Styela clava: one gene and its partner. The main gene of each other region encodes a partner of the protein of the gene in region 2 in a complex. Links are inferred from orthologs where the notes say so. Each region holds a gene or a part of one and is shown on either strand. Other genes may lie near its edges.

Region 1 (3,758 bases), on a different chromosome or scaffold from region 2:
ATAACCCATAAGTCGACTGCATAGAAATGGCATGAACTTGATCAATTTCAGTGTTGAGAGATGAGTGGATAGTGAAGCTGATTTCAGCATTTCTGATTACCAATTGATTCCAATGGTTTTGAATGTATTATATCACTAATTATCAAACTTATATATCGACATTGAACATTTGTTAATAATATCCAATTAGCAAAAAATTGTAATATGAAAATAATATCTTGTATTGCGATATAAAATATTGTTGCTCTCACCTCTTCATTTTTATTTTTCTTATTTTCTTTAGTATTTTCGTCTTCTTCTTCATCCTCACTATGCCACTCACACTCTGAATCAGTCGGCTCAATTTCTCCCTGAATAATGTCTCTCCTCTGAAAAGGTCAAATGATTGGAAAAACATTTAATTGAAAACAACTGTAATGTACATGACAACTGTCTATAAAAGAGATTCCTAACATCTGCTTATTTAGCAGCCCACGATAGGATGACATCGTTTGGAGTCTTACAACAATAACGACAGTTCTATTATTGACGTATAATAACAAGTGGCTTCCTGCAATGAGTTAAGTAGTGTTATAGTAAACTGTATATAATACTATATATAATATAATATATGATACTAATCTCCACTATTTAGGAATTAGATAATGGAAACATGATTATTTTAATAATAGTCCAATCTTCCAAACAGCATTTAATGAGGTGTTTATAAAAGTATTTTCGATTACAAACATACACTGAGTGAATTATATATTAGAATATTAGATTTGTTTTGAACAAACCTGCACTATTTATAAGCCAAACTACAAAAAAAAAAATAATTCAATGGAATTGTTACCTTTTTTATAGAAAACATTTATATTAGTACCTGATCAAAAAGCAATTATATTTTATCCGTGGTTTAAATATCTCTAAGTTCATAACCAATCGAAAATTTTCAAATTGAAATTTTTAATAAAATAGAATCAAGCAAACAAATATGGAACAAATTAGGTGGGCTATGCCAATGCAAAATCTCTGCAATGCAAACTTCTGAACTATCTTGAATCTTTTCATTTTGCAAGGAGTTCATATAAACAAAAAAAAACTTACCCTATCAAATAATGGTGCATAAATCGCCATATATTTTCTTTCTAATTCATGGACTTCCTCAAAAAATTTTGATTCAATATTCATTGACTTGACTTGAAGATTTTTCAAGGCATGTATCCGTCTTTTCACTACTTTAGGGAGGCTGAAAAATTACAGCAAAATGAAATTAAAATAACTGAAATGAAAATTTTTCCAATGATTGGAATGTAGGCTATGTAATAAACCTATTTATTTTATCAAATTTATATTCTACAATGGCCTACAAGAATATAAAGAAATTAAATGCTCTTGAAAATTCAGCACCCCAAAACACAGCACAGCAATTTTAATAGAAGTGCATAGGTAGCAAAACATTTCCGATGGCAACTAACTGAAGCATCGGTCCTTTGATACCTCGCAACACAAATTGCAAACATACATACATTCGAATACATTGAAAAGTAGATATACCCCGATTCTTTGAAAAAAGCATCTTTCCAGGGTCATTTACACTTTTTAACATACCGTACCTTTCAATATATCCTGATGAATTTCCAACCATATCTTCGATTCGATTTTGTAAAGCAGCTAAAACCTGTGGATTCTGCATCATCTCTGCGGTTATTTGACTTGCTGAAAAAAAAATACAAAACATGCCAAATTATGATAAACTTTATGAGAAGTATAAAATTGAAAATATGCTTTCCGATGATTCCTTTTTAAATGTAATTTTTTCTTAATTTTTCATTATTAAAGAAGTTGAAGATGACGGGGATGATATGGGATAAATCAACCAAGTCCAAGGATATTCATCAGAAAAGCTATATTCCCTTATCTGAACAATTTCAATAATACAGATATTAAACCATTCAACATCAGATTACATTTACAATAAATTTTATCAACTCAACTAACGGTGACAAAGTATTTGTTGAATAGAGGAAAGGTGAAAGCCTGAGCTTATTGGCTTGTAATTAATATTTAAGATCCTTATATCAGACATTTATGGTAAACTTGATGGGGAAAATTCAGAATGAGATCATAATCACAATTATATCAAAATAGCTTTCGTTTTGAAATATTCAGCGAAAGAACAATGGCACCAATTTTCACCCTACAAAGGAGGCGCAGTTCTTATTTATTACCATCAGGGGCAGCCCTGCCATTACAGCCGACATGCCGTGGTTACGGCAGCAAAATTTTATCTGCAGTTGGTTTTCAATTTGCTGCCGTGGTAACAGCAGCTCCCCACTGGTTTGTGGCAGCTACAAAGTCAGTCGCCATGGTTTTGTGGCAGCTTCAGACGCCACGAAATACTTGAAACTGCAATTGCTTCAAAGGCAGCTTTTAAGGAACAATCAAAATTCATATCCTTCGGGACATACACTTTAAAACACAACATAAAATTTCAGTGTCATTTTCAACAATGATTTACATATTTACCTGAAGGCATCGACTGTGGCGTTTCATCTGCATTCAAAGTAGCTGATTCATCATCAACTTCTGTCTCCGGTTTTTCCTCATCGTGTTCCACAACATCTTTATCAGATGTTTTCGCATCTCCTGATGACATGTTGTTGTAAATATTTTATGAACTATGAACTATCAAAACCAGCAAAAGCTATTTCTGTATTTACATAATATAAAGTTTGAAAAACATTATTACATGTGTTAGAGATTCTGTGAAGTAATAGTTTGATCACTAAATCTAATTAACACTTGCCACTTATCTTTTTGCAAAATTTGCTGTGCAGGCCTGCACAACATACGGCCCCCGGGCCGCATACGACCCGCTAGATACTTCTGTGCAGCCCACGGTTGATTTGGAAACACGCCACTTCTCTGGTCTAACAATCAAAATCGGCATTGTTATGCAAGCGCACCGCTACTCTGATCATATTCGAAATCGTGAGAATTATGTTTTGCACTAGTTTCAATAAATATCAAACTTTGTGTGAAATTGGTGTGCCCTTCGTGACCCCTAAAATTTGCCGCTCGACCCCTCGCCCCCCAGTTTGGGTAACCCTGATTTAGATATCTCAGTATTCAGATTGAATCACGCTTAAAACAATTTCGGTATACAATCTCAGACCCATTAGAGCATATTAGCAACCTATTAATAAGCCCCCTATTTTTTAATAAGTTTATGAAACTGAAGTTTCTTTTTTGATTCAAATTAAAAACTTGAAAAACAATTCCTTCATTTATGAACGGTATAGAAATTCTCGTACAAAAGATTTTGCTATTTACTGTAAAATTTCAAATAAATTGGAGCAGATTTTGTAGAAACATGTAATTTAACAGTCAAAAAAGTACGGGTCTGGTATAGTTTAGTACCACATGTACTTCTAGTTGACCTGGCTCAACAATTTTTGCATATGTCAATCCTAACCCCCACCTGACTACGTCACCGAAAAATTACGCCATTTCGTCACAGTGCAGCAGTGGCGTAATAAGGCCCACCGAAGTATGCGGATGGTCGTCCGAAACGCGCAGACGATCACCCGAAATCGAGCAATCAATTTCTCCCGTTTTCTCGTCACAACGATCACAATAGGAGAGAGATCGCCGGCTTTAGCAAGTTCGTTATCGGCGGCGCAGATGTCATTTCGGGCGATCGTAATTATACTTTGGCAATCCCTATGATGTTATGGTGACGTCGTAGTGACGTAATTCTTGGATGGCCCAGT
Region 2 (3,758 bases):
TCATCCCTCTATTATATTCAGCTTTTGCTTCCCATGCTATTTTAATTGAATGTTTGATCACCAAATCTTTAATCTTTTTCTTTATTTCTTGCCACCATTGAGTTTTTGTATCAAATAAAACTTTTAATGTGCACCAACTATTCCATTTGTTCTGGAAGTCTTCAATAAAACTTTGGTTATTATAGACTGAAACATTATTTTTCCAAAATCCGTGTCCCTTTTCTTCCAATTTACTAATAATCTGAATATCGACCGAGTACATGTCATGATCCGAGTTATATGTTGGTGAACAATATATGTTGGTTATATGACATAGCCTATGAGAACAATATAAACGATCTAATCTGGCTTGTATTGTGTTATTTCTCCAGGTATAGAAGGTATTACTATGAGAAAGGAAATCCACAGAATCGATCAAGTTAAAAGTTTCTACAAGGTCATTCAATGCTTCAGACACATATTCTTTCTTGGCTCTTTTATTACTTGTTCTATCTTTATCTATATCATGAACACAGTTCATATCACCACCAAAAACTGTTGCATGTTGAGAATATAGGAATCTGTAAATACCGTTGTAAAAATTTTCCTGTATTCTAATGTTAGTTCGACAAGGGGCATAAATATTAACCAAATGAATTTTTTCACCATGTATATCCACTTCAGCAGTAAGAACTCTTCCATCGTTGTCGAATGTGACATTATAAAACGAAAAACTTGACATCTTTGATTTTAGTAATATAGCTACCCCTCTCGAGTTTGAATTACCATTATTCCATATGCTGGTGCCATGTCTCCATTCTCTACGCCATGTTAGTTCAACATCGGTAGTGCAGTGTGTCTCTTGGAGAAAAATTATATCTGCCTTTTTTTTTGATAATTCGAAGAATACATCTCTACGTTTTTGATTGTCTCTAAGGCCATTAACATTAAGTGTGAGAATCGTCAAATAAATTACCATTGTGAGAGTTCTTTTTCTTGTTTTTTTTTTTAAAAGTAGATTTGACGTTTTAACAACAACTTTATTCACTCATATTGTGTATATAATCTTTAGCTTCTTTCATAGTCATTATCTTTTGTTTTCTAGATGTTTTCTTTTTTCTTGGTGGTGACCTTTCAATAGAAGAAGACTTGTCCACGGTTAACTGTGAATTTTCACCTTGGTTTTGTGTATGAGGTTCTAACAAATACAAAATTGTTTTTTCTGCTGTATTGGATTGCATTTCCTCTTCTTTATTCAATGTAATTATCTCACTATTATCCTCACTGATGTCAGACATATTTCCAAACATTTCTGGCAAAAGGGTTGGACTTATGGATGATTTCTCACTGTGATCTTCACTAATTTCGTTCGCGGGAGTGCTCTGGGTTGGATTATCATTTATCAATTGTTTTTTACTAATGTTATTTTCAGTATTATCAATTTTGTTTTTTTCTACTTGTTTGGTAATCTTTTTAGCTTCATTGTCTATTTCCTTTTCAGTTTCGTCAACTTTGGTCTGTTCTGGATTCGGTGATCTTTGTCCTGTGTCTTTATATCTTTCTAATTTTGGAATGAAATATTCACAATTATTCATTATATGGCCAGCTTTGCCACAAATACGACATGTTGGGGTCTGCCCCCAATATCTGACAAAAAGTGAATGTCCTTTTAATTTTACGTAACTTTGAATTGGTTTTTTCATTAAATCGTCTTTTTTTATAAAAAATCTTCGTATGCCATTTTTCATGTTGAACCTATCTTTCAATATAAGTACTTCTCCTATTGTTCCGTGATTTTCTTCAAAGTGTTCTTTAATTTCTTTATTTTCCATTGGGCATGGCACATTGTGTACGAATACTGCCACATTTTCCGGTACATAAAGTCTATGAAAAGGAAGTGTTTCTGCACCTACTTTTTTAAGCTCCCATAATTTCTTATCCACATCAATAGCTGTTGCTCTTGTTTTAAATGTTAAGTCCACCGTGTACCTGGACGTAAGTACAAATCCGTCCACAGTGTCGAATACAATATTCAGTTTTCTAAAAAATTGCCATATATCTTCTCTTCGAATTACTTTTTCATCATTAAATTTCAATGCCATGCACTTCGTTCTGTCTAATGTGTTTCTCTCCTCCTCATCTTTTTTACGATTCTGTTTCAGTTTCTCAGAGTATAGAGACATCTTCGGACATCGTTTCACACTTTCAACAACAGGATTTTATTAAAGTTATAATTTAGATACTAATTATAGTTAAACTTAATCAAAATCCTTAAACGGAGACTTGACTTGACTTGACTGCGACTTTCGACCGATGAACAGAAAAGTCTTTGTGAATTTCGATAGTTAGATCACTGCTTTTCGTTTTGAATACGATTGCTCAACAAACACCCTGCAATGAAGACAAAAGTCGAGCGCGAACTGTCGTTCGCCGCATGTACTCGGGGAAATCCCAGCAACACAATCAAACAAAGTCAATCAAACCGCGTCGCATGGTGGCGAACATTAATTTCTCCTATTTAAATTCAGAAGTTCACCGCCGCTCAAATAAGCTGGCAAACAGGTTCAATTTTAGATATCAACTACTCAAGATGTTAAATATGTGGGCAACAGTTAGAAACTTGAGTTTTATTAGACATATATGTTGATAGGTTTATTTATTAATAGATTTAAAAATGGTCGCTGTCTATGATGGAAATTTCTTCCTCAGCTTCGCCGGGGTCATAGCGTATTCCCAAACTGTTTATATATATATATATATATATATATATATAAAACCTCGATACACCGAAGCTAAAGACTTCGTGCGCTACCAACGACTAACGTGCGCTACTATATATACTTCCAGTAAACAAAAAAGTTTGAATGTTCTCATCTTGCGTTTCTTCCTTCCGCACGGGTCTAAAGCGAACATGTACCACTTCTTTCAATCCAACATCTATCTTGCACGTTTTGAATCTTACTAAGGTTTTGTTGGCTTCCCTGATTCCGTCTGTAATCAGTTCTATCCTGATTTTATCTTTTTTTTTTCTCGTCTTTTATGCCGATTATGGAGTCTAAATAAACACACATTGGTGAAACCGATGCAAAAATATTTAGTTTGCTAATATAAATTTGATCTTTCAACAAAACTGCGCTACCAAAAAACAGTGCAGTTGTTCAGGGAGATGAGGCAAACTTTTAGTTCTTATTTAATCGTACCTAACAAATGGTAAAAGCTCGTGATTTTATTGCCATTCTATTCTAAATGAACAGCTATATTGTCCTGCCAGACTTTTTCCCACCTCTATGGGCAACCTATAGCATACACCACCTCCCTCATTTCTCAGTCTTGTCCCGTCAGACAGATATTGACGATTTTTTAACAACATATCATAATTATAAAGACAAAATAAAATGTGAATTACATATATAAATGGTATTGCATGTTTGTCCACCAATGTAAACAATTAAAACTGGATTGAAATTCATGGCTAAACCAAGTAGTGATGTTCATTAATTGTAGAATTTAAATCCATATTGAAAAATTAAGCACCAGAATTATTCAAAATGAATGTTCTATTTCCTCTACAAAATATCTTGGATACGCATCAAAAATTCAACTTTTGATTTAGGCATCAATCTGCACATGCGGAACAAATTTGGAACCCTTTTTGTCATGTCTGGTGCTAAATTCATGAGCACGACACTTCCTCAGTGTCAACACGAAATTCAAAATTACAGTTTTTGAGTATGTTTTTCAAAATGCTTCTGAAATATAAAGTGTATTTCATTGATGAG

Evidence for each region. Proteins that work in one complex are often made in the same cells at the same time.
Region 1: the proteins of (E3-independent) E2 ubiquitin-conjugating enzyme UBE2O-like (region 2) and nucleosome assembly protein 1-like 1 are in contact, whole or in part, in a cryo-EM structure (PDB 7UN6), measured with the Homo sapiens proteins. The link is inferred for Styela clava from reciprocal best matches to the Homo sapiens genes UBE2O and NAP1L1. Residues at the interface, in NP_071349.3 of Homo sapiens: Ser225, Asn226, Val282, Lys283, Pro284, Val285, Lys289, Ser290, Lys291, Phe292, Arg293; in NP_001317160.1 of Homo sapiens: Arg333, Arg337, Thr343, Gly344, Glu345, Ala346, Ile347, Asp349.

What each region holds. Positions count from the first base shown.
Region 1 is NC_135257.1:697,531-701,288, reverse strand, and holds the start of nucleosome assembly protein 1-like 1, read right to left. Parts: upstream 2,697-3,758; 5' UTR 2,642-2,696; coding exon 2,512-2,641; intron 1,702-2,511; coding exon 1,599-1,701; intron 1,232-1,598; coding exon 1,090-1,231; intron 369-1,089; coding exon 252-368; intron 1-251. UniProt on the Homo sapiens protein: Histone chaperone that plays a role in the nuclear import of H2A-H2B and nucleosome assembly.
Region 2 is NC_135256.1:11,167,803-11,171,560, forward strand, and holds the start of (E3-independent) E2 ubiquitin-conjugating enzyme UBE2O-like, read right to left. Parts: upstream 2,466-3,758; 5' UTR 2,306-2,465; intron 2,298-2,305; exon of another isoform or gene 2,163-2,297; coding exon of another isoform or gene 1,020-2,162; intron 1-1,019. Other genes in the region: uncharacterized protein LOC120339753, read right to left, coding at 1,020-2,162; ATP-dependent (S)-NAD(P)H-hydrate dehydratase-like, read right to left, coding at 3,696-3,758. UniProt on the Homo sapiens protein: E2/E3 hybrid ubiquitin-protein ligase that displays both E2 and E3 ligase activities and mediates monoubiquitination of target proteins. Negatively regulates TRAF6-mediated NF-kappa-B activation independently of its E2 activity.